Linked DNA regions of Struthio camelus. The protein of the gene in region 2 binds, or shares a complex with, the protein of the main gene of each other region. Links are inferred from orthologs where the notes say so. Each region holds a gene or a part of one and is shown on either strand. Other genes may lie near its edges.

Region 1 (15,775 bases), on a different chromosome or scaffold from region 2:
GGAGAGAAAGCAGGGTGACAAGGTGAGTAACAGTACTGCAGGAGAAAATATTATGAGCGGAAGGGTAAGTCAGCATTAGTCAGGAAGAAGGGAAGCAATCCAGAGATAAGAGATATAAGACAGAGGAACAGGGCTTTTCATGGGGAAAGGCCAGAAGCAGCAGCTTGGCTACTAATAGCCAATGAACAAAGCATTTGCCTTACAAGCATTATTCTGTTAACGGTATAGAGTATTTTAAAGAGAAGATTCGCAGCAAGACTGTGTTTCTTAGGCCCTGAACACACACCCACGTGCAGGTTCTCGCGTGCAGATGGCAAGACCCTTCCTGAACCTCAGTTCCTGAATCCAGGTGAGAGCACTAGTAAGGGAGAAAATCTCACGTGCAGCAGCCTCGCTTGCTCCGAAATGCTCCTAATAAAGCCAAGACACAGCTTCCTTTCCTTCCTTCCTTCCACAGCAACCTCTACAAGAGGCAATGGGCACAAATTGGAACACAGAACGTTCTGCCTGAACATGAGGAAAAACTTCACTGTGAGGGTGTCTGAGCACTGGCACAGGTTGCCCAGAGAGGTTGTGGAGTCTCCATCCTCGGAGATATTCATAAGCCGTCTGGACAGGCTACTGGGCAACGTGCTCTAGGTGACCCTGCTTGAGCAGGGACGATGCCTAAAGGTCCCTTCCAACTTCAGTCACTCTGTGAACCACAGCAGGACTCAAGTACACCTTGGCCCCAGTTGGTCCAGGTCTGAACGCTCCTAACACAAGCTCAGCCAAGCTGCCACTGCAAGTGCAGTTGTTGCGCATGCTCCTCACACCACATGGCTCTGCTCCTGCCCCCAGCACAGGCCCTGCAGACAGGCCCGATGCCTCCCCAAGAGTTGCTCAGACAGTTTCCATTTCTGTTCTCATAAAGTGCAGCAGAAAGCACCACGAGGAGGCTGCAGCTGACACTGCTGCTTCTATAAACAGCCCTGGGGAGACCACTTCCTTTGCATGCAGCACAGCCTGCGGGGCAGGTGCCTCTCGCACTCAGGGTAGCAGCATGAGGATTGGGGGATTCTTTGCTGAAGGATGTTGGGGAGGGGACAGGCCTGCGTAGGTCAGCCAAGCTCAGAGCAGCACATCCGGAACGGCAAACAAATCTAGAGTAATGGAGGTCTCAAACAGCCAAACCTGCTCACATCACTGTCCTTTAGGAGAGACAGATTGCAGCCAGGGCAGAAGAAGGTGCACGCGGAGCCAGGGCTGTAAAGAGCCAAGCTCCCTGCAGGCTGGGACAGCCCTGCAGAGTGCAGGAGCAGGGTGTGTGTGCTGCTGGCCCAGGGTGGGGATCACTGAGAGAGGAAAATAGGGGACAAGCCAGCTGCAGGGGCATCTGGCAGAGGCTGGAACAGTCCCAACGAGAGCGGGGCAAGAACCACACGCAAAAGGGCTTTGCGCAGCATGCCCTCAGCAGGAACAGGCATCCTGCTAGCCCACACTCCTGCACAGCGTCACAGGGACACCCACCATCACAGGCTGGCAGCTGGGGACAGGCTGAGGATCACAGATGCCGCTGGGGAACAAAGCTGCCCTTTCTGCAGTCACCAAGGACTGCAGCAGCTCCAGCACGTGGCAGGGCCCGCTGCACGGCTGCCACAGGCAGATTCTGGCACATCAGTTCATTGCCCTTCAGCCATGGAAAGTCTGCAGAGTAATTAATGGGCCTCAGCCCATGGCATGCAGGTCCCCAACTCACCTTGTCTCGGCCATATCTCCGAAGTAGCCGATAGGGCCAGACGTAGAGGGTCTCCTTCGTCTGTGGGTCCTTCAGGATGAGGCTGTCACGCTCAGCCTTGAGCACGTAGGCACCACGCAACTCGCAGCGCTCCGCAGCCTCCGTCCGCTGCACTGTCACCCAGAAGGTGTTCGCTGTGGGGACAGGGGTGATCAGGGGATGCAGACGAAACCCCATTCCCAGCTCCAGGCAAGGCCTAGCCCGGTCTCCCAGGCCACTGGCACGAGGACAATGCAAGGACATGGGCCTGGGGAAGGGTGCCCGAGCCCAGCACAGCAGCAAGCCCTACCCTCCTCCCGTGAGTAGTAGATGGAGTTCACGGCCATCTCCAAGGCTGGCGCCTCCCCATCGCCCTCTCTGCCGCGCCGGGCTGCCACACCACCATCACTGGGGCCGTTTCCCTGCCAAGGAAGAGCAGATAAGCCTGAGCCTCTCTTGTCCCACGCGGGCCCCCCAGGGCCCCATGCAGCCAGTTGCTACACCGTGACTCCACTCGCCCCCCGTGGCCAGCACTCATGGCCCTGCGGCCTGGCCCAGCGGCCAGCCATCCTCCCGTGGGGCCCACCTCTGCCCACTCCATGGCCTGGCTGCTCTCCAGATGCATCAAGCCCTTCCCAGCCCACAGCTCGGGACAGACTCCACACCTGCCCAGAACCAGCAGGACCCGTGGACAGACACAGGGTCTGGCTGTGCCTGAGGGGCATCCCTGGGACTTCCAGCAGGACCCCAGGCCCACCCAGCCCAATGCATGGAGAGGAGCAGTTGCCCCCAGCAGCCCTTCCACTGGACCCTGGGCTCCAGCGCAGCAGGCCCTGCGGGGCACGGACGCAAGCTGGCCCTGACACGCAACTTCCTCTGGCTGCAGCAGCCAGTGATCCAACATGCCCCACTGCAGCTGCTCATCTGACCCGCTCTGGCAGGGCCTCAGCCACCCGGATGTCCTGGTGCCGACACAGAGAACAGCTCTGCTTCCTCACGGATATGCTCCAACACAGGCAAGATCAGCACTCAAAGCGCCGCGCAGGCCCAGCTGCACTCTCCCAACAGCGCAGACAAGGGGGGCGCGCGAGGTGACCCAGTAACGCGAGGGTCTCTGCGTCTGGCTTCTGCACGGGCAGGAAGACGGTGCCAGTGTCACTGCGCACAGCCCGCAGAAGGGAAGCAAGCACTTCTACATTTAGCGCATGCAGAACTGAAAGTGCAACGCATACACTCTGGTCGTCCGAGCCAGCGCCCCTCTGCAGCAGGGTCTCCCAAGGGCTTGCGCACGGGGTGCACCCCCCGCGCTACCACAGAAGAGCAAAGAACCCCCTCCAGGGAAGCCCCATGCAAATCAAAGGCTCACAGGTGCCCTGCAGGCGCAGCTTCAGCAGGTTTTGCACGGTTGCATGAGGGTCTGTATTTAGTCAGGAGCTGAAAAACGTTTCTCAGTGTCAAAGCACGTGGGATGGGGTTGCAGCAGAATATGTGTCTTGTAGAAGGCAAATCGTCACAGTTTCAGTTCAAAACTGGTCACGTGGGCTTCTTAACAGGAGGTAAGGCCCTACAGACCCTCTCATTTGCCTCCTCGTCAGACTGGGGACTGCTGAAACCTAGCAGCCTAGACCTGAGGGCTCCTGTTCAGCTAAAGCATCTTACGCAGGAAGGGCTCTAGCCTGGGATCAGGAAGTCAACAGCTAGCAAGTCTGCCAGAGCCCTTGAGGGAAAGCACAGCCCAAAGGAGCCCTAATCTTCAGAAGGAAAAGAAATTCCAACCTGAACTGCAACTGATCTCAAACGAAATCATGCTCCCAATATAGAGGATCAAAAATCACAACCAGCTCCTTGCAGAGAGATCAGGCGCAGCTCCTGCGCCTCTTGCTGCAGGCCAGACCTTTCTAAAACACATGCCATCCTCGCAGCACTTTGCTAACCTCTTCCCAAGCTGTCAGTGTGCTTCATGAGCACAAGCATCCGGCTAACAGCTACCGTGTAAGGGACAGCGTGAGCACCTTCCTGCTCCAAGCAGCTGTTCCCCTGCCCTGCCACTGCCCCACATCACTCTGTGAAGGCGCTCCTGTGTGTTCCCGGCTCAGCCCCACAGGCCCTTTCCAGGGAAAAGGCAGCAACACCGCACAAAATGGACTTTGGCACAGACAAGGAACGATTCCCAGTGCCATACCTGTGCTCCTTGGCCTGACCAGCAGGCGCTCACTGCGCAAACACATGTGATTTGACAGCAGGCTGCAGGGAGAGGCAAGCAGGGACAAAAAACGGCTTAAGATAAGTCATGCTCAGCAAACATGTGCGTCCTCGTGGGAAGGTCCCAGGATTGCCAGCTTCACAACCAGTCATCATACGGGGCAGCCCTGACCAGCGCTCACAAAGCTGCAATCAGCAAGAACTCTACCCAGAGCCTTGCAGGCATCTCGTCTGGCAGAGGAGAGACGGCGGACCCAGAGGGGCCGGGCGAGCGCGGGAGGCCCTGCAGGGCAGCGGGGATGGCCGCACTTGCTGCTCTGCAAACTCTGCCTTCCCACGGAGGCGTCTCAGGCAGCTGCGGTGTGAGGTGCGGGCAGGCAAGCTGCTACACTCGCTGGCCACAACTGCTCTAGGGAGGAGCTGCAGAGCTGACCGCGCTCCCCAGCGGGGCTGGCTGAGCTCCCTCAGGGCCCAGGCACAGAGGGCTCCGCCGCAGGCCTGGCACTGACAGGGGGCACCCTGGCTCCAAAAAGGGGCGAGCCCCAAGAACCGGCGGAGGGGCGACAGTCAGCACTGCAGCTGGCTGCAGGTTTGGCTCCTGGTGCCAGCTGCACACGCAGGGCTCTCCGTGGCGTTGTTTCCGCCCCTCCAGCGGCGGGAACGGCAGGCAGCGATCAGGCCAACGCAAGCCGGGGTCCACGGAGGGGCGCAAGGCTCTAGGCAGAGGGAAAAGAGCCAGTCCTCGAAGCGTGAGCGCAAGCAAGAAGCTACCCGAGGACAGGCTGAGGAGTCCCGTTACCACGCGAGTCCCGTTACCAGCACGGCCAGGAGCTACGCGGAGCGACCCGGTGTCCCGCAGCCGAGCTCCCGGGACCAGGCTCCCCGCGCCGGGCGCAGCCAGGCTGCCGCGGCTGCGAAGCGAGGAGCTGTGCAGCCTCCTCCCTCCCTCCCGCACGCCCCCATGCCCCGGCCTGCCCCGCGCAGACCTCCCCGGGGCCCTGCGGGGCCACCGGTGCCCCCACGGAGGCGAACCGCGGCCGGGCTCCGGCTGCAGGACCTGGGATGCCCCCGCCGCTGCCGGCCCCGCGCTCACCGGGAAGGCGATCTCGCACAGCTTGGCCACCCACTCCTCGCTCTGCTGCTTGTCGGCCGCGAAGAGGTAGCTCCTGTCGCTGGTCTCCAGGCAGAAGGCGGCGGTGCCGTGGCGGGGGCCGCTCTCGCCGGCGGGGGCCACGCTCACGCAGTCGGCCAGCCGCACGATCTTCTTGTCCAGCCGCTTGGTGCTGAGCTTCTCGGGGGCGCCGGCCGGGTCCTTGCAGTCGAAGAACTCAAGGCGGGCGACGCCGTGCTGGCTCGCCGGGTACAGCACGAACCAGTTCTTCTTCCAGCGCTGCGGGGCGGCGGGTCACGGCCGGGCTGGGCAGCCCCCGGGCGACCCTGACCCCCCCGGCCCGGCCCCCCCCCAGCCCCGAGCCCCGACCCCCCCCCGGCCCGGCCCCCTCCAGCCCCGACCCCCCCCCCGGCCCGGCCCGGCCCCCTCCGGCCCCGACCCCCCCGGCCCGGCCCCCTCCAGCCCCGGCCCCGACCCCCCCGGCCCGGCCCCCTCCGGCCCCGACCCCCCCGGCCCGGCCCCCTCCAGCCCCGGCCCCCCTGGCTCAACACCCCCCGGCTCGACCCCCCCCGGCTCCAGACATGGCCCCCTGGCCCCGGCCCCCTCCTGCCCCGACCCCACCGGCTCGACCCCCTCCAGCCCCAGCCCCCCCCCCGGCTCGACCCCCCCCGGACCAGCCCCCCCGGCTTGGTCCCGGCCCGGCCCGCACCTCCGCCGGCCCCGCGGGAGGGCAGCGGCCACCGGCGGCGGAGCCCGGGCCCCAGCGGCCCCGGCCCGACTTCCCCAATCGCGGGCGGGCCGGCGGCAGGGAGCGGGCCGGGCCGAGCCGAGCCGAGCCGAGCCGGGCCGAGCCGAGCCCGCCGGGCCGGGCCGAGCCGAGCCGGGCCGAGCCGAGCCGCCCGGCCCCGGCCCCACCTTGGCGCCGAACTTGTGGCTCTGCTGCACGAAGAGCGGCCCCTCCTTGGCCGGCGGGTCCATGCCGGCCGCCCGCTTCCGCCGCCCCGCGCCGCGCCGGGCCAGGGCCGCGGGCGGGGCCAGGGCGGGGAGGGGGGGGGGGGGCAGGGCTGGGGGCGGGGCCAGGGCGGGGAGGGCGGGGCCAGAGGGCGGGCCATGCCCCACCGCAGCCGGGTGCGCGCGCGCCGGGGGGTGGGTGGGTGGAGGTGTGTGCGCGTGTGCGCGCACATCTGTGTGTGTGTATACGTGTGCATGCATATGTTTGTGTGTGTGTGTGTGTGTGCACACATCTGTATATGTGTGCATGCATATGTTTGTGTGTGTGTGTGCACACACATCTGTATATGTGTGCATGCATATGTTTGTGTGCACATCTGTATGTGTGTATATGTGTGCATGCATGTGTTTGTGTGTGTGCGCGCACATCTATATATGTGTGCATGCATATGTGCGTGCACATCTGTATATGAGTGCGTGTGTGTGCACATCTGTATGTGTGTATATGAGCGTGTTTGTGTGTGCACATCTGTATGTGTGCATGCATATGTTTGTGTGCGCGCACATCTGTATATGTGTGTGTGCATATGTGTGTGCACACATCTGTGTGTGTGTGTGTGTGTGTGTGTGTGTGTGTGTGTGTGTGTGTGTGTGTGCGCGTGTGTGCGCTCACACGCATGCATGTGTGTAAGAAAACTACCATTATTTCCATTGGCATAGCCTTGATTAAACTTAGCCTCGGTGCTTGGAGTAGCGCAGCCTGCAGGCCTAAGCTTGAACTTTACCCGAACCTGTGGGCTACTGCTGACACAAGTGCGGGGCGGCTCGAACCAGCCCCCAGAGGCACAGCACCCGAGGGGCAGAGGCAGCCGTGAACCTCCCATAAGGTAAGGCACCGCGAAGCGGGAACACAGCAGCCGTCCTGGGACGTGGACACGAACCAGCGAACAGAGACCAGCGACTCCGTAAAGAAGATTGGAAGAGACTGTCGCTGGCAGGCGGGGAAATCAGGCTGTAAGGAGTATAGGTATCCCAGAATTTCTTTGTTCTGGGTCCCTCTTCGGAGGCACCCAGCTCAAGCTGAAATAAACGCTCGTAGAGAAGCCTGACTCTGACTCTGGTGAAGGCCTGGGGCCCCTTATAGCAGTGTGCGTGCCTACCACGCACGGTAACTTGTGCACGCCACGCCTGCACACCAGTCAGCTGTGGGCGCTCGTTCCTGCCACGCACCAGGAACGTGTGTGTGGGTCTGTATGGCACACCGGTAACGCGCGCACCAGGTACCGCTAGCGTGCGCGTGTGCTGCGCGCTGGTAACGTGTGCACACCGGGTCCCGCACAGTGGTAGTGTGTGTGCATGTGTGTGTGCGTGTGTGTACCTGCCCAGCACCCGTAAAGGGTGCACTGGTAACGTGTGTGCGTGCGTGTGCATGTGTGTGGGCGTGTGCACGTGTGCGTGCCACCGCACACTGGTGAGACGGCACAGGGTATTGTGCAGTGGTGACACCTGGCACAGCAGTGCGTGTGAGCTGGCACGGCGTGCTAGTAACATGTTTATCGTGCACAGGCGACGTGTTCCCCACACGCCGCTACCGTGCGCCCACCTGGCTCCGCGTCCGCTCCGGTCGGTGACACAGCCGAGCCCCGGCCCGCCCACCGGGCCCCGCCCGCCGGGGCCGCCCCCCGCGCTGCGGCGGCGCGTCCCCGCGGGGGCGGGCGGGGGGCCGCGCCCGGCCCGTCCCTCCGGGCCCCCCGCGCACCGCTGCGCCCCCGGCCCGTCCCTCCGCGCATCCCTCCGCGCACCGCTGCGCGCATCCCTCCGCGCCCGGCCCGTCCCTCCGGGCCCCCCGCGCATCCCTCCGCTCACCCCCGCGCATCGCTGCGCGCATCCGTGCCTTCCCTCGTCCCTCCCTCCCTCCCTCCGCCCGCCCGAGCACCGGGCTCCGCCGCTCCGGCCCGCGGGCATGGCGGAGCGGCCGCGCTTCCTCTGCGGCGTGGTGGAAGGTAGGTGCCGCCGGGGCCGGGGCCGGGGTCGGGGTCGGGGCTGGTCCCTCTGCCCGGACAGCACTGGGACGGGACGGGAGACTGGCTCTGAGACGTAGTGCCTGGGGCCCCGGGCATCGGGGAGGCAGCGGCCCGGGTCCCTGCCCGGTGCCCCGTCCCCGCCCGGGATGGGGGACCGGCCTGGGTCCCTGCCCGGCGCCCCGTCCCCGCCCGGGATGGGAGACTGGCCCGGGTCCCTGAAACTCCCCCAGCTGTTCCCTAGCCGTCCAAGCAGCAGCCGCCTTGCACCAGGGCATGGGCACCGGCTGCTCTGGCTCCAGCACTGGACAGTGCCTCTTTCTCTGCCCTGGGCACGGAGGTAACATCCCTGTGTGTGCTCCCACTGCCTCCATACCCCCAGCGCGGCGCTGCCCTGGCTGTGCTCGGTGCTGCCTGGGCCAATCCTGCTCTCAGAGGGCTGCTCGGTGTGGCTCAGCCCCAGTCCTTGCAGCACAGCACCTCTGGAGCTGGGCCGGGCCTGGCACCCACTGGGCAAAAGCACTTCCATCTTTCCTGGCAGCCCTGTACCATACAAGTAAATACAAATCAAAGAGAAAGTGGGAGAATAGGGAAGTTGATAGTAAAAAGAAATTTGAATCAGACAAGAATCATTGGTATGGGAAAGCTGACCTGGGAAAGAGACCTCCTCTTCAGGGAGGAGGAGGAGGTTTCTGGAGAGTGAGGAAAGAAAGGCATCCGTGATCCCAGTAGCACAGGGTCTGGCAGGGTGTGCACAGTGGTGCTATGGTGGGCAGGCTGCTGAGCAGGGCACAGCTGCGTCCAGGCCCGGGCAGACCGGGAGTGTCCTGCCCAGATGCCCCTGCTCCCTCCTGGTAGCCGAGACATCACCAGCAGCAGAGAGCCTGGATGGGCCAGAACATCTGGGTGACCACGCAAGACAGGGGAGCTGGCAGGGTCTTGGGAGGATGCTTTCCAGCCAGGCACATCCTAGCTCGCCCAGAGGTCGGCAGGCAATGATGTTCACTGATACAGTGATCTGGACCTTGGGAGAGCAAACAGCCTCACTCATCAGTGCTTGTCTGTTTTTAAGGAAGCAGTGATTCAGCATCACCGCTTTGGAGATGCAGCCACGGGCACAGGCAGGATTTTGCTGGCACAGTTTAAGCCAGTTTTCTGAGTGGGCTAGGGACGGCACCTCCACCAGGGCTGCTGCTGGCAGGGCCATGCTACGAGGCGAATCTCATACTTTCAAGACAGTGTCAGCTCACAACAAAGTGTGAGCGTGGCCCTTGCAGGCAGGTGCTGTATGGGGACTGCTGGGACCTCATCGTGAGCTGAACAGGAGTTCCCAAGGATTGGGAAATGGAAAATCCATTTCCTATAGAAATACTTTGAGTGAGATGTTTTCTGGGATCCCTGAGTGGCCACATATTTGACCCCATGCATAGGACTAGCAGAGCAAATATATATCGTTTCAAAGTAGATGGAGTATGCTTGTGAATGTTCAAGAAGGTAAAACATCTCTCTGCAGCAAACACTCAGTGTGTGCTGTAGCACAAGCCACCCCATCCTTATGGCCCAGGGTTAGTGCTGAGGGCTGCAAGATGGGCTCCTGCCAAAGGGACCTTCCCAGGTAGAGTGGCTCTACTGCGCTCAAGTGCTTTGGGGAAAGCTTGTTCCTGGGCGATGCTGGCCTCATGCCAGGTGCCAAGAGCTGGCCCTTTCTGCCAGACTAGCAGAGTCATTGTGATCTGCCCTTGTGCGCAGCCCGGCCCAGCCCAGCAAATGCATTCACTTATTGAATCTCTGCTCTTGTTGTTCTCATCTGATAGGCAAGTGCATTGTCTGAGTTAAAAGCTGCCCATGACGCAGAGCCCATCTGAAACTGGGAAGCTGCCCTGATGGCTAATTGCCATCACTGTTCAAGACATAATGCATTTTCTGTGAGGCTTCTAATTGCAGCCGCCAGGTCTTGCCGTGACTTGACCATGAGGCTGAAGGTCCCTGCCTTGCTAAATTTCAAATCTATGCTTGAACACTTACAGGTTCTCCTTAACCTCTCTTCAAGAAGCAGTCAAATTTGCAGCTCTCCAGACTCCTTTACCTGCCTATTCCCGCATTGTCCCCAGGTGAACTAGCATCTAAAGAAGCTCCTCCAGCCTAAGTGGAGAGCTGAGGATGGACATGCTTGGTGCATAGCAAGGCTCAAGTGTTGGAGGAGGGTGAGGAGCAGACGAGACGTGCCATTCCCACCACAGCCCCATTCCCTGCTGCTCTGGCTGGCAGGAGGGCACCCAGGGCAGATGATCAGCTTGCAGCGCTGCAGCCACAACCCTGTGTCGGACACTGGTGCCTGACAACCTCCCGAGCCTGCAAGCAGCAGAAGCAGAAATGCTAAGAAACGCTAGGGAATTTGCTGACTCCAGATCTGTATTTCCTGCATTCAGTTTTGCTGAACAACCTTCTGGAAGGACAACGTCCTTCTGGCCAGCCTCGGCGCTCATTAATGAATGTCCTTGCCAGCAGATAGCCCTAAGATTGCTCCCCAGGTGCCTCCCTCCAGTGGCCCTTCCCTCTGCAAGGCTTTGGTGCTATCCAGTGGGGGCCAGACAAGGCCTCTGTGAGGGATCGGGTAGCAATCACTGTCCCAGCATTCATGGAAATCCCTGCCAGGTGTTTGCACGTTCCTTACCTGAACAGCTTGCCATGGGGTGGGGATGCTGTTTCGAAGACTTGCCCTGCTGCAGAGTGTAGGCAAGAGCTGTATGAGTGCAGTCTTGGTGCAGTTTGAGTTTCTGCAGTGGTTAAAGACAGAGGAGCAGCTTTTACAACCCATGCAGGAACACTGACACTGCTTGACGCTACACAGGCGCTGCGAGATGCGCAGATGACCCAGAAGAACCACAGAGCTGGTCTCTGGAATGAAGAAAATCCCCGGGCAGGAAGCTCTAGAGTGGCCGTAGCTCCCTGCTTCGGTGCACCCAAGACCACGCTGGAGGGGCTTTGAGTCCAGCCAGCCTGCAGCAATCTCCTCTGCGCTTGGATCTTGCTGTGTAAATTCCCCCTCCCAAGCTAAGGGCCCCTCATGCAGCTTTTTACAGTTGCTTCTCTCTATGAAGGATGGCAGTACAGACATCTTATACCCAGTCGCTCACATATCGTGGTCCAGCAAGATCGCAGCAGGATAACAGACATTTGGAGTACCCGGAGGCAAACAGCTGAGGGACCTCTGGGTTAAGAGCAGCATTTAGGGACAGCACAGAGAGACGCTCTTTTAAGGGAGTGACTGACAAGTGCATTTTTGTTCTTGTTTTTCCTGTCCTTTTGCAGGTTTCTATGGGAGACCGTGGTCTATGGAGCAGAGGAAACTTCTCTTTCAATGGCAAGTACCCCTCGTTTTGCCCCCTGGAGGTACTAGCCCCTGAGAGACTGACGAGGCGAAAGGCAGACGCGCGCACCAGCCCCTCTGCTGCGCGGCCGTGAGCGCGGGAGCGGCAAGGGTGCGCGCTGGTGGGAGTCCCCCAGCTGGCCGAGCGGTCGGGACGCTGGAGACACGGTGGCCGAGGGCCAGGATCCTGCAGGGCCACCCTGGGGCGCTGCCCTGGGGCTCTGGAGCGCGGCCCTGCCGTGGGGTGGACGGGCCGGACGGGCCATGCTGCTTGTGCCCGGCAGGTGGTGCTGGGACTCTGCCGTGGCCCAGCTGCCGCCAGATGTGCTCGGCCGGACAGCCCAAGGGGACGGGCTCTGGAAGAGGTGGGCCGGGGGCTGCGCGATGGCGCGGGTGCAAACTCGCGGGGAGCTGGGGGGACAGCTGGCATCCTGCTGTCCGAGCTGTGGCAGGAGGGACGGCAGCGGGGAAGGTTTGGAGAGGATCGCAGGGGCTGCGCGCCCCTGGGAGCGCCTCCTCTGGGGGCACCAGGAAAGCTCCTCCGCCCAGACGGCAGCGCGGCTGGAGCAGGCTGCAGCAGCCCACGTGCAGCCAGGGTCCCAGGGAGCAGGAGGAGGGTCGAGGGCTGCAAATGGGAACTCAAATCCACGTGAGGAGGAAGACGTCGGTGTTTAGCATGCTGGAAGTCGATCCCCGGGATGTTGCCTTGGCGCCGGTCCGCGTGGGCGTGCAGGCGGCCAGCCAGTACGTTGCCGAGCCTCGCGCCTGGGCTGCCCGCGCGTCACGCAGGAGCGCCCTCAGGGCTTCCCGCGCTGCAGGCTGTCATCGCTGCAAGAACAAACTCGGCAGCACGTCCACATCGCTCCTTCGTGGCTGCGGGTGGCCCCTTTAGTCCAGGCGTGCTGCAAGGTCCCTCCCCAGCTGCGTTCCTCACAGCTGGCATCCCCGTGCCATGGGGCGCTGTCCCTGTGCGTCCCCCCGCATGTTCCTGCAACGGGGGGTGTGAGCAGGGTCTGTTACTGGCCGGTTATGAGGGTCACATTAGGATGGGTTGGTCTGCGCAGGAGAGAAACAGCGGTCTCCTGGGGGCCATTGCTCATGTGCCGGCCACTGGTGTGATGAGCTGCACTGGCTGGACCTGCCAGGGCTGGCTGGGGCCCTGGGGCCCCTCGTGGAGCACCCAGCATGGGCAGCATGGCACGCGCAGCCTGGCTGTGCATGGGTGACAGCACGGGCAGCGCGGTGGTGGCGGTGTGGGCAGTGCAATGGTGACGGTGTGGGCAGTGCAGTAGTGATGGCACTGGCAGTGTGGTGGTGATGATGTGGGCAGTGCGGTGGCGACAGTGCAGGCAGTGCGGTGGTGATGGCATTGGCGGTGCAGTGGTGACGGTGTGGGCAGTGTGCTGGTGGTGATGTGGGCAGTGCAGTGGTGACAGTGCGGGCAGCGTGCTGGTGACGGCACTGGCAGTACGCCTGTTGCAGCGTGTGAAGGTGACAGTGTGGGCAGTCACAAGTGCAAGTAAGAACCATGGTGGGGGCAAGAAATGCAGATATAGAAAAAAGTAGGTTAGAAACGCTGGGGAAAACACGCAGCTGAGACAATGAAGGGAAACAAAATGTGATGTTTTAAAGTGTTTTGGGAATGAGAAGGTCTAGTGATGTCATGTCCTGGTACTGGACTGGGGTGGGAAAGCTGTTAATCACAATTCTAAAAGCATGGTATATTCATCAGCATTTTTCTTCTCTGAAACAAACCAAGATGAGGCCCCTGTGTCATGCGGTATATGAAGTGCTTCCCAGTGTTGTTCATCATGGGAAAATGTAAACCGTCATCTACTAAGAAGGATAAATACAAATAAATGAATAAATCAGATGGCTTTCACACAGGCAAGCCAAAAGAGCTGCCTAGGGAGGTGTCTGCCCTGTTCTGTTAATTTGCAGTGAGTCTGGGACAGCTGGGGAAATTTTGGAAGGAATTCATACTTTTTAAGGCCAGGAAGGGCAGTTATGACGGTGTAGTCTGAGCTCCTGAAACAGCCGGGACCTGATGGCTCCTGGACGTGCTCTCCTTCAGCTCCGGCGGCAGCGGCGTGTCTGGAGCGCTTCCCCCCGTACCTCACCTGTCCCTGTAAACCATCCCTGGATCCCGCTGTGCCGGCCTGTCAGGCCGTGGCGTTTCTCGTCTCCTCAGCACTTGCAGCCTGAGAACGGTCCGGGGATCCCCTTGGAGAGAGAAGGAGAACTGGCTCCAAGAGCCCCTGGCTCCCAGGCTTGCCGTCTGTCTCGTGTTTGTGATTCCTCGGTGGACGTGCTCCAGTTTATCAGTGGCCTTCCCACGCCACGGCCACCTCTGCGTCAGCATTTTCAGCCAGCACAGAGGTCACCGAATAGCCCTAGTCCTGCCTGACATTTCCCAGTTATTTGCCCAGAGCTCTCTTAGGCTGCTATACCAGGGGCATTGCAGAGGATGGACCATGGGTGGTGGGAGCAGGCGTGGGGCAGGATCAGGGACCTGGGTGATGGGAGCAGGCGTGGGGCAGGATCAGGGACCCGGGTGGTGGGAGCAGGTGTGGGGTTGGAGCAGGGACCCGGGTGGTGGGAGCAGGTGTGGGGCTGGATCAGGGACCTGGGTGATGGGAGCAGGTGTGGGGTTGGAGCAGGGACCCTGGGTGGTGGGAGCAGCAGTGGGGCTGGATCAGGGACCCTGGGTGGTGGGAGCAGTGGTGGGGCTGGATCAGGGACCACGGGTGGTGGGATCAGACATGGGGCTGGATCAGGGACCGCGGGTGATGGGAGCAGGCGTGGGGCTGGATCAGGGACCGCGGGTGATGGGAGCAGTGGTGGGGCTGGATCAGGGACCTGGGTGATGGGAGCAGCGGTGGGGCTGGATCAGGGACCCTGGGTGATGGGATCAGACATGGGGCTGGATCAGGGACTGCGGGTGATGGGAGCAGTGGTGGGGCTGGATCAGGGACCGCGGGTGGTGAGAGCAGGCGTGGGGCTGGATCAGGGACCGCGGGTGATGGGAGCAGTGGTGGGGCTGGATCAGGGACCTGGGTGATGGGAGCAGCGGTGGGGCTGGATCAGGGACCCTGGGTGATGGGAGCAGTGGTGGGGCTGGATCAGGGACCCGAGTGGTGGGAGCAGTGGTGGGGCTGGATCAGGGGCCCTGGGTGGTGGGAGCAGGTGTGGGGCTGGATCAGGGACCCTGGGTGGTGGGAGCAGTGGTGGGGCTGGATCAGGGACCTGGGTGATGGGAGCAGCGGTGGGGTTGGAGCAGGGACCGTGGGTGGTGGGAGCAGTGGTGGGGCTGGATCAGGACCCTGGCTGGTGGGAGCAGTGGTGGGGCTGGATCAGGGACCTGGGTGGTGGGAGCAGGTGTGGGGCTGGATCAGGGACCCCAGGTGTGGGGAGCAGGCGTGGGGCTGGAGCAGCGCTGGCTGGGCGCCCCTGCAGGTTTAGGGGTGCCCCGACGACTGTATAAGCAGTGCCGGCAGCTCGTGGGTTTCTTGTCTAGGGACGTGGGTGCCGTCAGTGAGAGCAGAGTTAGTTCTGATGCCACAAGCTGCGCTTGGCCGAGTCCTGGGCCCTGCTGTAGGGTCAGCGCTGGAGCCCGCGTTGGCTGGGTGCAGGAGAGCGGCGCAGGTCCCGGAGCTGCTCCTTGAGGCTCGCCGGCGGGGTCTGCCCCACTGCCGGCACAGAGCTTCCTCAGGGCCGCGGCGGTGGCGGTGGCGGTGGTGGTGGCCGTGGCGGTGGCCGTGGCCGTGGCCGTGGCTGTGGCCTGTGCATCACGCTGGTGCAGGCGCCAGGGCGTTGTGCGCCGCAGGGCTGTTAACAACCCGCCTCCCGGGAGGCAGCGTCCTGCTCTTCTCGGGGCCTTTTCCCGTGCAGATGCAATGTCTTTCTGGAGGTGCTGAAGCACAAATCATTGGGCTCAGCGCAGGGGGCACTGGGTGAGATTAAGTCTTCGAACGTGCACAGGGCAAGGCTCCCTGCGCAGGGGCGAGCGGTGCCTGGCCTGATGCCGTGTCCTTGCTGCGCAGGCTGAGACGCTGGGGGCTCAACTGCTACATGTACGCGCCCAAGGACGAGCTGAAGCACCGGCTGCTCTGGCGAGAGCCCTATACGGACCATGAGGCAGGTAGTGGCTCTGCTGGGCGCCAGCGCGGTGGGCTGCGGGCGGCCCGGCTCCGCAGGGGCGATGCACAGCCTGCACCTCCGCCACTGTCGGCACCGCTCTTCCTACCTGGACACTGCCCACTGCAGGGAGCTTCCAGACCCTGCCCCTTGCTGGGAGCCCCCCGGACCCTCCCCAGTGTCAGGAAGCCCCGGTGCTGGACCCGCAGGGGTCTAGCGCTGGGCTG
Region 2 (15,611 bases):
TAGAGAATCAAAGCCATTCTCACCGACATTTTGTAAACCATTCATACAGTCCACGTTCTCATTTCTCCTTGCATAGAAAGGCTCTTTGATGTCTACTTCTAGATGACATGATATGGAAGGCCACCAATCAATACAAAAAACCCCAGAAGTCAATCAACATGGAAGCATACTCTCAAGGAAGTCCATGGGAGCTGGCAAAAGGGAACTTTGGGAAAGTCAAAGGCACCATTTTTAGGAACCTATCAGAAAGTCTCAGCTCTTGATATAGAAATGAATAAAGAGTCACCTGAAATTATGCATCTATTATTTAGAAGAATACAGAAACATCTCCGTGTCTTTAAGCCACAGTGAATTTTAAGTCTCATCTCCAAGACAGCACTTGTAGGACTAAAGGATCACACACAGAATCACACAGAATCGTTTAGGTTGGAAGGGACCTCTGGAGATCATCTAGGCCAACCTCCCTGCTCAAGCAGGGTCCTCTAGAGCATATTGCCCAGGATCACATCCAGACGGGTTTTGAATATCTCCAGGGAAGGAGACTCCACTACCTCTCTGGGCAACCTGTTCCAATGCTCTGTCACCCTCACAGTGAAGAAGTTTTTTCTCAGGTTCAGATGGAACTTCCTGTGGTTCAGTTTCTACCTCTTGCCTCTTGTCCTGTTGCTGGGCACCACGGAGAACAGGCTGGCCTCATCCTCTTGACGCTCCCCCTTCAGATACTTGTACACATTTATGAGATTGCCTCTCAGATGCCTGTTTTAATTCAGTGGTGAAACTAGTCTTTAAGAGGCTTCAGAGATATGTGAAATTCTGATCTCCTAATGTCAAGCTGAATTTTGCCATTTCACACACAAATAGAACAGCTAATGGAAAAGTCCATACAAGAAAACCAGCAACTTGGCATCTATGAATTAGGAACAAAACTAGATTTAATTCTATTATCTGAGTGAAATTTGTCTCGCTTAGAAGAAACCCATAATGGACACTAAAAAAACCACCCATTACAGCAACACAAGCAACTTTGTTATATCAGTTAAATATAATGTTTAATTAGTTTTCTAAATACATGCACTGAAAAGCCATTAGACAACCATTAGGCATAATATATCCATTTTCTTTTTACAATCACCTGATTTAGTTTGCCAGATTCCTAAAGTAATTCAGTCAAACAACATTTCTGGCACTATTATCTCAGTAAAGTTTCTAATTCCCTTTTTTGATTGGGATCACTGCAATCTCCCCTTAAGCTTTCAAGTGCTGCTGATCATTTTCATTTCAGTAGATTTACATAGCATCTCTTTCAGGTAAAAAGGGCATCTGGTATACTTATGGTCCCATTTCAAGATCCAGAAATCTGAAACTACTCAACTATTATTTTGAAATGATCATTAGGAAAAATAGTTTTGTGTTCTCTTCATGTGGGGAAAAAAGATAAAACATCTGAAGAATAAGATGGTTCTAGATACCTTCAAGGTCCTTTTAAAAAACTGAGTTCTAAAAAGAGCAATAACCATCCGGCTATTCATGCCTCACCTGACTTATTTTCATTAACAAAAGCTTTCTTAATAACATTATTAATTGGCAACCTTCTCTATGTGAGAACTTGTCAAAAGGCTCTCAACGCAGTGAATTCTCTGCACTGTTGCAGAAGCAGCAAACAGATCTCGCTGACGAGGGACAAAATCTCATTGTACAAAGCCTCCTAACAGATTTTATTCTACAGCTACCTAGAGCTTCTCTGATGCTCTGTTTTTTTCTTGATGCATGTGGTGCACCCTAGAAATTCTGTAAAGTTTTTCAGTACGTTTTTCCCCCACTTTGCCACAGGGTTATGTTATATACAACCAACATTACATATGACATGCAAAGGAGATTATTACTACTAATAGTAGTACTCTACAGGAGAGAGATTTAAGACAGAATGAGTCAGCCAACAACTCTGTAGCACAGCTGTTAACTAAACCTGAATACTGGTCTACCCAATCTAATATGCAAACCTCAGATCCATCCATCTCATACTGTAATGACTTTTATCTAAAGAAGTTTATCTGGAAAACAAACAACAACTGTTAGAAAAGTTTACTTTGAATAAAGAAAGCAAAAGGAGCTAGGAACAGTTCCCAACACTGCACCATGAATGTGCCTCAGTCTTAAAACAGTGCGCTCTTAAAACAGTGCGCTCTTAACATACACCTTGCTCACTTCAGGGAATCACTGTCTATGTCAAAATAGGTATTGCGATATTACTAATATAAATGCTTGCACCCAAAAAGCAACGTCGGACAATTTGTTACATTTAAAATCCAGAGACAATTGCAGTCAATCACCAGTTGGTATCACTCTCAGTTCTGGTGCCAGAAAATCGAAGGATGCCAACATATGAATAGAGCAAACCTGCTGTTCACTGTGGACAGACTCTAAATGGCCTTTACACAAAAAGGCTCTGGGAAACACTGAGCTCCTACATCATGGATTTTTTCCAACCCATAACATGTCTGTATTTGCTAGTTCACATCATGGTGGAGACAGTAGGCCCATGAGAAGTGGGAATTACAAATTCTTACTTACAGGTTATTTTTGTCCATTAATACACGCCCCTTAAATACACTGCATGCACAACACAGTTAAGTTGCCAAATGAGGTACTGTGGAGAGGGTTACTGACTATTTGGTTTCTCCAAAACCAGCTACCTCAGTTCAAACCCTAAAAAAACTAGAACTAGCACCTGTCTCCTTACCAACCGGAGCGCAGGTGCCAAGAATGCAAACGCATCACTGAACAAACAAGTCTTTTCCCTCCTTCAGGGGCCAAAGTGGGAGAGAGAGGGAGAAACAGAGAGTAAACAATGTACAAGTTTCCTCACTGTGTCTATTGTTTCAGTAACAAGAAGAATTTAACAGACTATAATATGATAAACAGAAGGAAAACTGAATGCTGCCTTGCTACTGAATGCACATCTAAGAATGCAGGTGCTGAACCAACACCGTCATATGAACTGACTGCTTGTGTTAATGTTTCAAGAAGCTATGGGAAAAAAAGAAAAAAACCACCAAAAAGTGGGAAAGAAAGGTAATTGAACATAACACAAAATATGGATCCTATTAGCATATTGTTGCTGTTTAAAAATAAACAAACCAACCCCTCCCCCCAACAGTCACATAATTTCGTTATGAAATGGAAAAGACTGCAGTTTATGAACTTCAGTGCAGAAGCTGATTTGCAGAAGAACTGGAAGGCGAAGGAGCTGGGAACAGGAAGAGAGTAGGGACAGACACTAAGGCTAGAGGACACAGGGGGCCCAGCCAGCTTCCCCTGAAATTAGCAGGAATGCTGGGATTAACCCTGCAACCAATTCTGCACAGGTGGAGCATCGATTTCCCAGTCCATATTCGCAGAAGCTGGTGACTTTAGCAAGGGGAAGCACTAAGACCACTAGTGGGTTCTTTGGTGTCCATGAAAGAGCCGGGGTAGTTGCTGTAGTTGCTGTGCCTAGAGGCAGATAAAAATAACAGAGTACGAAAGAGTCAGTGTCCTATTAATCCTCTTTTTCCTAATAAGAAAGGTGGGGTTTGAAATTTTCTCATGATTTCCATACCCTCCCCAAATAAGACATGCAAGACTTGACTTAATGAAGTGCCTCACAGTTTTTTTTCTCTCCACAGATTCCATTTTCTCTTGGCCTACAGTCAGGGTTACAATTTAAACAAATTAAAATAGAAATCACATATTGTCTGACCAGATCACTGCCAAAATGACAGGCACACAGACAAATTTATATCCCTCTTTAGCCTGATCCTCGACTCAACTCAATGGCCTGCACTCGATCACCTGATCTGATTAGCACTGTTTTGCTCTAAAGATGTTAATGCCCCGGTAACCTTTTTAGAAAGAATCATACAGGTGTTTCTCCTATGGAAAACACCTTTTCCTATGATGAAATACAAATATACACAAAATATAGAAACTTTGGGGAGAAGAATGTCACAGTTGCACAGTTGGTTTTCTAAAGTCTGTCCTTGCTCTGAATGCACGAGTTGAGCCTGAACTACTTCTAAGTTGAAATCAGTCAAAATAGAATATTAGCAATAACCCCAGCAGCAGGAAACTGCACTGTAAGAACTGATCCAGTACAGTGCCTAAATGAATACGAAAACAAACGCATTCATCACTTTTTCATATCACAGTCAATAAAATAACAAAATATTTGAAATGGCTTATATATAAGAGCATTTTTGTTAAAGTTATTTCCATATAGAAGCATATTTTCCTTCCACTTTTACAAGTTACGCATACACTGCAATTCTTATAAATTATTTTACTCATTGACAATACTTTACCACTTAGAAAGTATTTCCTTTAATAATAAAAATTACTTTCCAGACAACGCCATCCTACTAAGTCACTACAGTCCTACAGCCACTCTTTTCTGTACTTAACTGAACAAGGTCCTTTTCTCACATCAATATGAGCTTTCAGAAATGAACGAAAACTCTGGTGCAGAACAGCCACGCAGTGCATTGTGCAAATAAACACCCTGAAGCCCTACAACTGAAAACATGTAAGCTTTTGAAAAACACAGGTCTACACTCCATAAATAAATATCTCCATTTCTTTTAACTGATGCTGAAAGACACAGAAGTCCTAACTTGAGGAAAAACATTCCTTTTATTTTCTTTATTTCTGGGTAGTCACATGCTAATATCATTGCCTGCAGGAGACTTATGCATTGCTTATGATGCAAAAGCAGCAAGGGTCCAGCCGTCGTGTTTCAGAACAAACGGTCCAGTGTGCTTTTTGAAACTGGCCAAAACAGAACCAGATCTAACCCTTTCAACTAACAGCATGCTCACCAGATTGTATTTTACCAATCTCGTCCAAGTTAGAGAAATCTTCAGTTTAATCATGAGGATGTGTTTTAAGAACTACTGCAATGTTAGGCTTTCAAAAAATTCCCACGGTCAGATAAACCAAAGACGTACTAACAGGAACCGAGTGCGGTGGGAGGTGGGAACCCTGCACGACAAGGTTTTGCATGGGTGAGAGATTTCTTCATACCCCCCAGTGAGAGCACGACAGAGCTACCGCTGCAGGATCTTTAGCTTTCCCTTCTGGGATGGAGTCCACTAAAGTTTCACTGTGTTCCTCCCCCCGCCGGAGACTCATACCATCACATGGGAGACAGTTCAGTTTCTAAAGGGGAACTCCATGCACTTAGGGATTTTGTCAATACCTCCAAGACATAACGATTCATCTTAACCCCTGTTGTCAACTCAGATTATATTACATAAATAGGAACTAGCGTCACACATCTAAACGACGTGAAACAGCGCTTCTCTCCAGCAATAGACACCCATACGACATTGCTAACATGCTAGACTTCTTGAAATAACTATGAATGCAATTACCTTAAAGTGTGATCTTTTGTGTGTATAACTTTTCTTCCCCATAATTTCAGTAAAAATTAAAGAGCATCAAATATTAAGCCTCACCAGTCAAAACTTGGGCAAACAAAATTAATATCTGCAATTATAAGTATAAATAAATGGTATACAAGTCCTAGCTGGTAGCCTATCATACTCAGATAAATTAACTCCTACAACATCCCTTTCCAAGCTATGGACAAATCCAGGAGTTAACAATTTATGGCCATATTTAATAATAAATATACTGATTTCACATAACTTTTCCCAGCTGCTTAGGGTTGATACTCAAAGAAGAAAACAGATAAAATGGGGAAGAGAAACGGAGAGAAGTGGGTTGTCTCTCTCTCCCCCCAACTCGAACTTTCAGAGTACAATTCATATCAGGCAGTTATACAAGTGAAAGTAAAATCAAGTAACAGTCCCACTGAAAGGGAAGAATTGAGGGGGGAAAAAAAGAACTGTAGAAGAAAGCAGCTCAGCACATCAGTTATGTTGAATACATACTATATTCTGGTCCATCACCAAATGAACAGTAGCAAGTTTACCTGTCCAGCTTAAACTGAAATCACAGAAGACCATTTTCAAGCAGATGCATGTGACCCGTTTTGGCTAAAACAAACATACCCCTCAAATTGAAGAGCTTAGCTAAATCAGATTTCTACTAATTCTGCCAAAAATATTAAAGAAAATAGATTTGCCATAAATACAAAGGTAAAAGTAAAGTAGATATGAAAGATCATCCATTAGTAATACAAGTATGGCTAATTCTTCCTGACAATGAACTGGTGTGTGATATAACCCTCTCTATTTGTTTATTTTAATGACTTACTAGATTCCACATATTTTTTCCCCAGACACCCTAGGTTTGGGTACTAGCAAGTTTTTATGAGGATCTGAAGGCCCTAACAGTAATGTATTACGGACAAAAGGAATAAGAGCAACTTAAAGTACTTTAACATAGTAAAGAAAAAATGAAGTAAAAACAGAGGTTTTAGAATCTTTCTGAGCTACTGACAGTAGCGTAAGATGGTGCGACCTACTACAAGTAATCTGCAGTGATAATGAGGAGCAAGTTGTTGCACATTTTACAGAGAATCACAAGTACTGAATTAATATTGCACTTCACTCTTACATCAACCAGCAGTCTACTTACTAGGCTGTTTTGGGGCTCACTTTTCTTCATAAATGCATTTTGGTGAATATGTAGAGTTGCGCTACGTTCTCTAGCGAACAACAACTTTGATTTATTCATGTAAACATCAGAAATGTGTTGGCAAACATAGCCATATGGAAGAGAAAGAGATATAATGGATTTTCTGTTTGCTTTAGAAACTTGACATCTGTGGATAGCATCGTCTAACTTACGATCCAATAACTTTTCATCTTTTGGTCATTTTCATTCATCAATCTAAGCCAAATTTAATTTGATGACACAAAAAGCTCGGGGGGGGGGGAGGGGAACACAGCAGAGAGGGAATAATCTTTTAGAAACTTAAAATAGGAACACGCTTAAAAATTATTCTCTTTCACCTCATAAATTTAAAGAACAAGGAAATTCACATCTGTTCTAACTTAGCTTTAGAGCTTGAAAAGCAAAGAAAAAGTATTGGGGTTATTTATACCATGTTTATATTTCGGAAGAGATCTTCCGATCCTGACCAGCCGCCGCGGCACCGATAACGTGCCCCGCAGCAGGCTGCGGGGCTGGCCCGGCGGCGCTTACCTCCGCACAGCAGGAGCAGCCCCGCCGTCCGCCCCGCGACGGGCATCGTCCCCCGCTCCGCGCTGCCGGGCCGGCGCCGGGCGCGCCCCGCCGGCTCCCGCAGGCCGGCTCCCGCCGCCGTGTGCCCCGCTCTCCTCGGCCGTGTCCTGCGGCTCCTCAGGCGGGCCGGCCCATGGCCGGGGAGCTGCCGCGGAGCGCCGCGCCGGGGCGACCGGGCTGGGCCACCTCCCGGCCCCGACACCGGCTGCCTTGGGCCGGGCGAGAGCGCGCTGCTCTTGGGGCTGCCTGCGCCCCGCGGACTCTGCAGGAAGAAACCCAAATCAAAGGGGAAGCGCCGCTCCGGTGCGGCCGCGCCTGGCGTCAAGCCCCGAGCGTGCTGCCCGGGGCGGCGGCACCGCCCGGCCCTGGGCCGGCCCCAGTCCCTCCCCCGGCCGGGGCGGGACGGGGCGGGGCTGCGCGGCGCGGCGCGGCTCGGCTCGGCGCAGCGCGGAGGGGCCGCCGGTCCGCGCTGCCGGTCCCTTGCCGCCCCGCCCGGAGGGAGCGAGGGAGGGAAGGAGGGGGCGCGGCGGCGGCGGGGGCTGCGGCAGCGCCGCCCCGAGCATCCCGCGGGCCGGCGGCGGCGGGCGAGGTGAGGGGGCGCCGGGCCGGGGGCTGCGGAGCGGGGAACCGCGGGTGATGCCTCCCGGTGCGCACCTCCCGCGTCCTCCCCCCTGCCTCCGCACCGGAGTTAGCCGCGTGCGGAGACGGGCCGGGAAGGCAGAGAGGTGTGCCCGGCGGGCGCGGAGCGGGAGGAGGAGGAGGAGGAAGACACACGAGCAGCACAAACGCTCCAGGTGCGAGACAAAGCAGGGACAGGCGCTGCGGCGCTAGGATGCCCCCGAGTGCCCCCCCCCAACACATTAAACATGTTGAATAATTAATCCTTAGGAGAGGAGACAATTTTTGCTTGATGGTAGGAGAATGCTGTAAGAGATGATCTCTACCTGGCAAGGCACCAAAGTAACCCGGAATGCAAGGCATCGCGCTGAGGAGCGAAACACCACTTTTAAACCGCAAGCAAAGGGGAGAACAAAAATACTCTTTAACAACAGGTCCGCCTCGCTGAGGAAAGCGGTCCGAAAAAGCTGCTGCCAACAAACACCGCCCAAAGCATTCGGGGCTCAGTGCCGTGAGCCGCGGCTGGACCTGCCGCCGTCCGGCACGGCCGCGGCCGCCCGCGGCGCCGGCCCGGGCTCCGCTCCCCTGCGCGGCCCCCGCGCTCCCAGCAGCTGCTCCACCGTCCGCGTCCCCGCCAGCAGGGCCGGCTCGGCCAAGCCCCGCTCCGCGCCCGCGCAGCCCTGCCTCGCCCCGCCACCGGCCCCAGCCCCGGCGAGGCCCGGAGCGAGCTCCTCGGGGCGGCACAAGCCCCGCAGCACGCTGCCGCCCCGAGCCCCACCCTCCCTACAGCTTTCGGCCAAAGGAAAACCTTTCGTTGCACCTCTCCTCCCACTATCAGTGGGGAGTTACGTTTACAGGTCATTTCGACCTGCTGAAAAGAATACTTTCTTCACCCCAAGCTGATGTTGCCTCGTCACCGTGATGCTGTTTGGGAGATCTGGGCATCAGGACTTAGACATAGATCAGCAACTAAAGACCTGATCTTTCCCAACCTTCAGACTTTGCAATGCTCAAGCAAGAGCAAACAGAAGGCTTTCCAACCCTTCTGGCCATTTGAACGAGACATACGCAGCAGAATGATGCTCAGTGTAAAATGTAATGTCACCTGCTATGGACTACTTTAAATACTAATCAAATAGGACATTCTAGTTTCTCTCTTAGCCCCGTGTATAAGGATTCTACTCAAGATACCCAACACTACACGATGCGACAATACACAAAATTACCCTACAGAGCCGATAAAAGTACTAACTTACTCTTAACTTTTCTGTTAGACCTCCATCAAGCATGCCTATGTTCTTAATCAGTCATGGGAAAACAGTAAGCCAAATGCAAGCACATAAAGGGGTAATAATGAATTTGAGATGGACAGTAGCAACCCTCATAAATTAATTGCATTTGAAGCTACCTGAGAGCATAAATTAAACTTCTGAGTACTTTCTCACGTGCCTAAGTCTTTGTGGGGCTTTTATAGATGCCCGATAGAGGGAACTAAGAAGCATATGTGGGATGTCTCCATAAGGCAAGGGAAAGGCTAGAGCAAAGAAAGCAACATACAAAACATTAACATTAAATCAATGCTTTGTGGAGCAATGTCTTATGTTAAATCGAGCTTTATCTTAAATCATATTTAAAAGCTCACACTGTATACAAATCAATATTGATGCCATCTAAAATACAGCACTATCATCTGCACTGATAAATGTCAGTTTCCATCCAGGACAAAGTGACTTCTTGGAAGAATTTCAAGGACTTCCAATCTCTTCTGGCATCTCAGCAACTGAAGCCAAAGCTGTACTCCTCTGCCAGCTTCAGGCTCTGTTCCAGCGCATTAAACCTGGTTCTAGATGCCATTGTGTTAGTCGCACAAGGAGAATAAATGAGGTCACCACAATCATTTTGTCATTGATTTCCAGGCTTTTAGGTTAAGCAGGTTTATATGCTCTTAGAGGATCATACCTTACACACGACACATGTGGGAAGAAGTTACCATCTTAGATAAGAAAGGGACCGAATATTAACATCTGCAGTATTCCAGCCAGTGCAATCATCACACTAATGCCAGTGGAGCCTTCATGGAGCCATTCTGCCTCACGGTCTCCAATGTGCTCCAAGCCTTCACCAAGAAAAGCTGATGGTGTATTGAAGAAATGTAGTTTGGTCTAGAAACACAGCCTACCGTCAGCAAGACTGAAATAACCCAACTGCTGCATCTCATGAAATGCAGCAGTAGCCTATCAAAATGCAGGTATTTGATTTATTCCTCAGAATTCAAACTTCAGCGGAAAAGAATACAAAACAGAACAGTTCCTGCCCGGCCCCGTTTCCACACCCACAAAGAAGCCCAACACAGACTGTGAAGACTCTGCCCTCGAGTTTAGTAGAGGAACACAAGCCTCCTGACAACTCTCTCCTTCTAGCAGCTAACCTTTGCTCAGATAGGCATAACATGCACATTCATGTCATTTACTTGGTTTCTTTGTCTGAAGGCTTTTTGAAAACTGATGTGAAAACCAGCACTATTAAGCAGGGAATAAAGAACTAGGTGCCCTTGATTTTCCCGACAACCTCAAGCTCTGTAATCTGTCTCCCATCACTCTCCTAGCAAAATACTCTGGAAATAAATTGGCACTTTCCTGCAGGCTGGTGCAATTGTGAAACTATAGCTCATACTCATTTATTTCTGCTTTGCTTTGAGTCATTCATTTGGCACTGCAGACTGAGCTATTAAATTATTGTATTTTTTTCCTTTATAAAGGCACCCTGAGATGTCCTCATATGATAATGTTCCCTGAATCGCATATTATTTGATAACTGTTTCTTAGTTTTTTCATCAGAGATCTTAGGTCATGCTCAGTTAGCACTGAGGCAAGACACGTGAGGAGTGTTCCACCTTTCCATGTTGTCAGAACATTCATAAATGAACAATGAGAAATATTTTTATAGAAAGTCCTCCTAGAACGTTGTGATTGAAACCTCATTCTTGACAGGTTCAGGACTTAAGAATTTGTCCTGAACCTTAAGGTTATTTGTTGTAGAGTCTCAGAAATCTGAAGTAATATTGCTTATCACTTTAGAAAAAATGAGTTAAAAAAGACCCACAGTTAACTTAGTAACACTTCATTCTACTTTGTGATCAAATTGTCAAGTCTTTCATACAGTTACATCTAGGACTGCACTGAATAGATATTCTTTCCAAGGTAGATGCTAATGGTAAAGGGACAGGTCATATTTTGATCCTGACAATCACAAATGATTTATCTGCATGGCAGACTTGATTCAAGCTATTGTTTACAGGTTTGTAAGACATATGGGTTTTATTTCCTATTCTTCTACCCGATACCTTCTTCTCTGCTTGTTATGTACAGCTACCGTTTAAACTGTCCAGCAATCCACAGCACCTATTTCATTTTGGCCCTGCTTAAATCACTGAAAGAGCATAAGAATAGCATGTTTTCCTAGAGCGCTCATCCGAAAGTGCTATTACCTGGTCAGAAAGCCTTGTTATCATAAGAAAGCAGCGCACCAATTCTGAGCGATCTTCTACATCACAGCACCTGGAGAAGGAACGAAGAAGATGTTTCTTTCACATTAGGAGAAAATAAAAACCAAATCTGCCTGTTGTGGAGAAAGAATGGCAGCAGCTGCCTGGATCTCAAGAATTTTAAGCAAGGGGCTCAACATTGTCCTATACGTAGCTTTCCTGGCAAACCAAGAGTCTTGTGAAAACTGTGAGAAAGGACTGGCAAAAGCAGTGGAGATGTTGTGACAGGGAAAGCAGAATAACAGATCATGGGCCTGGGTAGACCAGGAAGAGCCAAAATCCTTTGGAGACCTGACAGAGCGATCCCTTCTGTGCTCCAGGCTGCCACTGGGACCGAATGTAAACCTCTGGCACTGACAATGCACACCAGCCACATGCGATACAACCCACAAGCCATGATGTGCAAGTTGCAGAGCACCCAGTGGAGCTATGCCGTTGGCTTTCCATCACCACAGGAATATCCCCAGGCTAGTATCAGAGAGAGCAGCCATGCTGATGACTAACGATTATCTCATTTGCACAGACAATTTTTTTTGCTTGGAACCACACTACAAAATAATCTCAACAGTTGCAACTCGCAGGCACCTTGGCATCAAGGCTCAATATTCATTCTGTTACTCAAGAGGCATTAATTTCCCTGAGGTATTAACAGGCATTAATATGATAAATCTCTCCACATCAGTATGATCTGTAAAGTTCTTCCTAACTTGGAAGACCAGATTTTTCTAGCTTTTAAACAAACATTTTGAATCTGCCTGGAAACATTATGAACACACGCATGCAGGTTCACACCCCCCCCATCAGAATTTGAGTGGTAGGGGGTAGATATTTTTCCAGAAGTTACAGTACAACTATTTAGAGAAATGTATTGAAATTGGCAGCTGATAAATTAAAACCAGCTAACAAAATATAAAACATCCTTTGTTGACTTCTCCATGTCCATTGCCAGTAGATAATATACTATAATGATAGTAATGTTAAAAAGATTATTTTCATCCTTGGTTCTTAGAATTTGGTGTTGCATATAATAGCTCACCTGAGACTTAAGAAACCTGGATTCCTTACTCATTCATAAAGGATTTACAGCTCAAGCTATCACCAAGGCAAGCCTCCTGCTCACCGCCCAGCTGAAGTATCCCCATAGTGAGCTGGGGGAGGTGAACGTGTTAGAGAATGATTCTGTTCAGCGTACACTCAGGTCTGCCCACCATGTGTCACAACTCACCAGAACCTTTTCTGAAGTGTATACATGACCCTAAAAAATACTGCATTATCAACGCTAACAAAAAATGATAACAGCCAAACAGAGCTGTGATACTTCCTTAAATGCCCAGCAAATATTTGTGAATCTCAGCTTTCATTATATTTCTTCCTTAAACAGTACATTCGGTTGCAGAGAAGTTGACAGTGAAGTGGAAAACATGATCACAGCATACCCTAGGGGTTTCAAACATGTAAAAAAAAATCTAAGAAGTTTCAAATGTGGTAAGTTTTAATACACAAAAATATAGGGAAACCAACTCAAAACATATAAATGCTTGGGGTTCAATATGAAACATAATTCAATTAACCTGACAAAACCGTGTTATCTCCATTGAGCAGTATAAAATCTGAGTTGTTTTAAGTTCAACAATGAAGCCCTGAAATCTTTTCAGCTTTACCTTTGCCACATCGCTACTGGGAAGAGGCCTCACTCTCCTTGCACAGATGTCTGTGTACACAGGAACTAAGAGAGCCTTCCCAGCCATGGGAAGGCTGCGCTTCTTCCAGGCAATTTCTGCAGCCCACAGTACGATTTGTTACATGCCATGGTGCCATTGGCAGCATCGTCCACAGCCACAGAGGGGGTTCTGCCAGAGTCAGCAGTCTTCAGTCCTTATAGAATATGAAGGTGAGAACCAGGTGGTTAGAAAAGCATGGTCGCTGCTGGCCCACCGCCCTACAGAGCTCCCATACAGATAGGAACCCAAAAACCCATAGCAGAGTTTCTACAGTGCGCAGGTCCAAGGCAGGTAACGTTCCTGTTGGAGCAATTCCTCCATCATCATCCCATTTCAATCCTCCCCATTGTCCTGCTTACCATCCAACAGAGCAGAGGAACTGAACTGATGTGGCCCTTCCCAAAAACTTCTCTCTGACCTTGCTGGTGCTTAAGGTAGCTAAGGTCTGTTGTGGTGTAGGATACTTACATGCGAAACCAGATTTACAAACCAGACATGAACTCTCAAATCTTTCTGTCCTCCACCAAAGTCGTCACTGGTAGCAAAAGCATTAGACCTTGATACCCCAATGAATGATCTAGTCCCAGAAGTAATCACAGCAAAGTGCCTACATCTCATTTGTGACACAACAGCTTTATGGTAATAGCAGGCAAGTTCTTCAGCTGATGTACACTTTCACAGGTTCAGAATGGAGCTATGACAACTTATAATACCTGGGGATTTGCTCCTATAGCATAAGGGGAAACAGTGACCTGATTGTTTTTAGTGTCCTAAATTATCAAGTTGAATTCTGACAGGGAAGAGCTGACAAACTCGTGATCATTATTCAGTTATGAACATAAGCATGAAAGCACACTAAGGTTAATGAAGAGAAGATCACATTCAGTAGAATAAAAATTAATTTGGTCACTATAGGAATTAGTATAAAAATATCAGATTCAGGACTTACAAGGGACTTCACCCTTAAGTTAACCTGTATTGGGTTAAATGATCTACATAACCTGATTTACATTCAGCACCATATGTTACAAAATTGTAATGATTTGAGATCAGGAAATATGATCCTAGGCTAGTTTAAGAGATCTGCATTCACACTAAAACGTATCTTTAAATATATGGTACTATGGTCGTAAAAGAAAGCACTCAGATAGTCAGGGCACGCATCTTCATTCACGCCATGGTTTATAGAGTCACATTGGCCCCTGCATTCTATCGATCTAACAGGATATGTTTTTCTATTACACATATACACACTCTCTGCATTTAAAGAACATCACATTAAAAATGAAATCAAGAGCTTGCCTGTGAGGAAATGTGAGAAGGGAGTCTGGCCTATACATTTTTTATTTGGTCACTAATATGCCTTTTAAGTCTTATTCAGAAACAGTTAGAAGTCAGTGTCAGCAGTATTATTGGAGCGTGTAGATTCCTGGGGTCCAGGAATCAACAGTTTAACCAGTAATGATTTAAATAACACACCTGCAACTAATATAAGCCTCTGCTCTGTTCATCCTGTGCATTGAGTAAGGCTAGAGTCCTGTAAATGCAAGAATATGCAATAGCACATACTCTCAAATACGCTGCACAAAGGAGATGAATTCACATTGAAAATGTAAACTTTAGGTTTACTTAATTTGGTGTGCTTAATATTATAATACTGTCTCTGAATATAAACTTTTCCAGTACGTCATTTCCTAAAATCTTTTTTAAATCAAATTTCAGAAATGCATCATATGGAGCCACAGAGTACTGCATAAGTTGCCACAGAAGTTTAAATGGCTGAAAACAGCCATTGCAAAAGAAAATTGCAGTCTGTTAGACCAGTTACTATAGGTAGATAGGATATATTACACTTATACAAGATGCCAAGCACATGGGTATAGCTTGTTTTTTCTAAAAGAACGAACAAGCAAAATATCACCATGTGGCAGTGACTGATGAGACAGGAACTAAGCACGACACAAACTTGTGGTCTGTTTTAAGGTGGGCCAAAAGATTCATGCTTGCCCTTTACCTTTGGAATTTGATCATAATATGAGCTTTAGAAGGACCAGAAAGTTCTCAAAATCATTATGACCAATAAAAGGAGATGCGGATGCCAAGTCATGGCCAGCCCAGTAGAGATTCACCCTGAGACAAGAGGTCCCTGACCTTCCAACATCCTGCAAAGCCTTTGTAGGCTTTGTAGGGCCGAGAGCACATTATGGACAAATGGAGCATTCTGGGATTTTAGCAGAAAGTCTTCAGAGGTTTACACAAGCAGATGGGGGTTGACTTTCTTGGACATGGGAAAAATCCAGCCCTCTTTTCCCCAAGCTCCCTATTCAAACTGTCAGAGTCACTACAGCTTTTCAAGGAGTATAAACTGAAAGTGCATTTCCCACGATTTCTTTCAAAAAATACATGTTTACTTATGTACTAGCACAAAACATAGTATAAATTATATTTTGGGGGGAGGAGACTACGCACAACTGTAACAGAGACCCTATCTAGCACTAGGCTCCAGCTGCAGCTGCTGCAATACAAATAGCAACAACAGT

The links.
Region 1: the proteins of RET (region 2) and DOK1 are in contact, whole or in part, in a crystal structure (PDB 1UEF), measured with the Mus musculus proteins. The link is inferred for Struthio camelus from reciprocal best matches to the Homo sapiens genes RET and DOK1. Residues at the interface, in NP_033076.2 of Mus musculus: Thr1056, Trp1057, Ile1058, Glu1059, Asn1060, Leu1062, Tyr1063; in NP_034200.4 of Mus musculus: Tyr203, Thr204, Leu205, Leu206, Arg207, Arg208, Tyr209, Gly210, Arg211, Asp212, Ser217, Phe218, Glu219, Gly221, Arg222, Arg223, Thr230, Phe242, Glu246, Ile249, Gln252.

What each region holds. Positions count from the first base shown.
Region 1 is NC_090945.1:87,722,594-87,738,368, reverse strand, and holds the start of DOK1 (docking protein 1), read right to left. Parts: upstream 6,103-15,775; 5' UTR 6,048-6,102; coding exon 5,985-6,047; intron 5,349-5,984; coding exon 5,052-5,348; intron 2,179-5,051; coding exon 2,067-2,178; intron 1,912-2,066; coding exon 1,739-1,911; intron 1-1,738. Other genes in the region: protein O-GlcNAcase-like, read left to right, coding at 7,984-8,023, 11,354-11,405, 15,455-15,552. UniProt on the Homo sapiens protein: DOK proteins are enzymatically inert adaptor or scaffolding proteins. They provide a docking platform for the assembly of multimolecular signaling complexes. DOK1 appears to be a negative regulator of the insulin signaling pathway.
Region 2 is NC_090948.1:30,690,653-30,706,263, reverse strand, and holds the start of RET (proto-oncogene tyrosine-protein kinase receptor Ret), read right to left. Parts: upstream 7,215-15,611; 5' UTR 7,196-7,214; coding exon 7,150-7,195; intron 1-7,149. UniProt on the Homo sapiens protein: Receptor tyrosine-protein kinase involved in numerous cellular mechanisms including cell proliferation, neuronal navigation, cell migration, and cell differentiation in response to glia cell line-derived growth family factors (GDNF, NRTN, ARTN, PSPN and GDF15).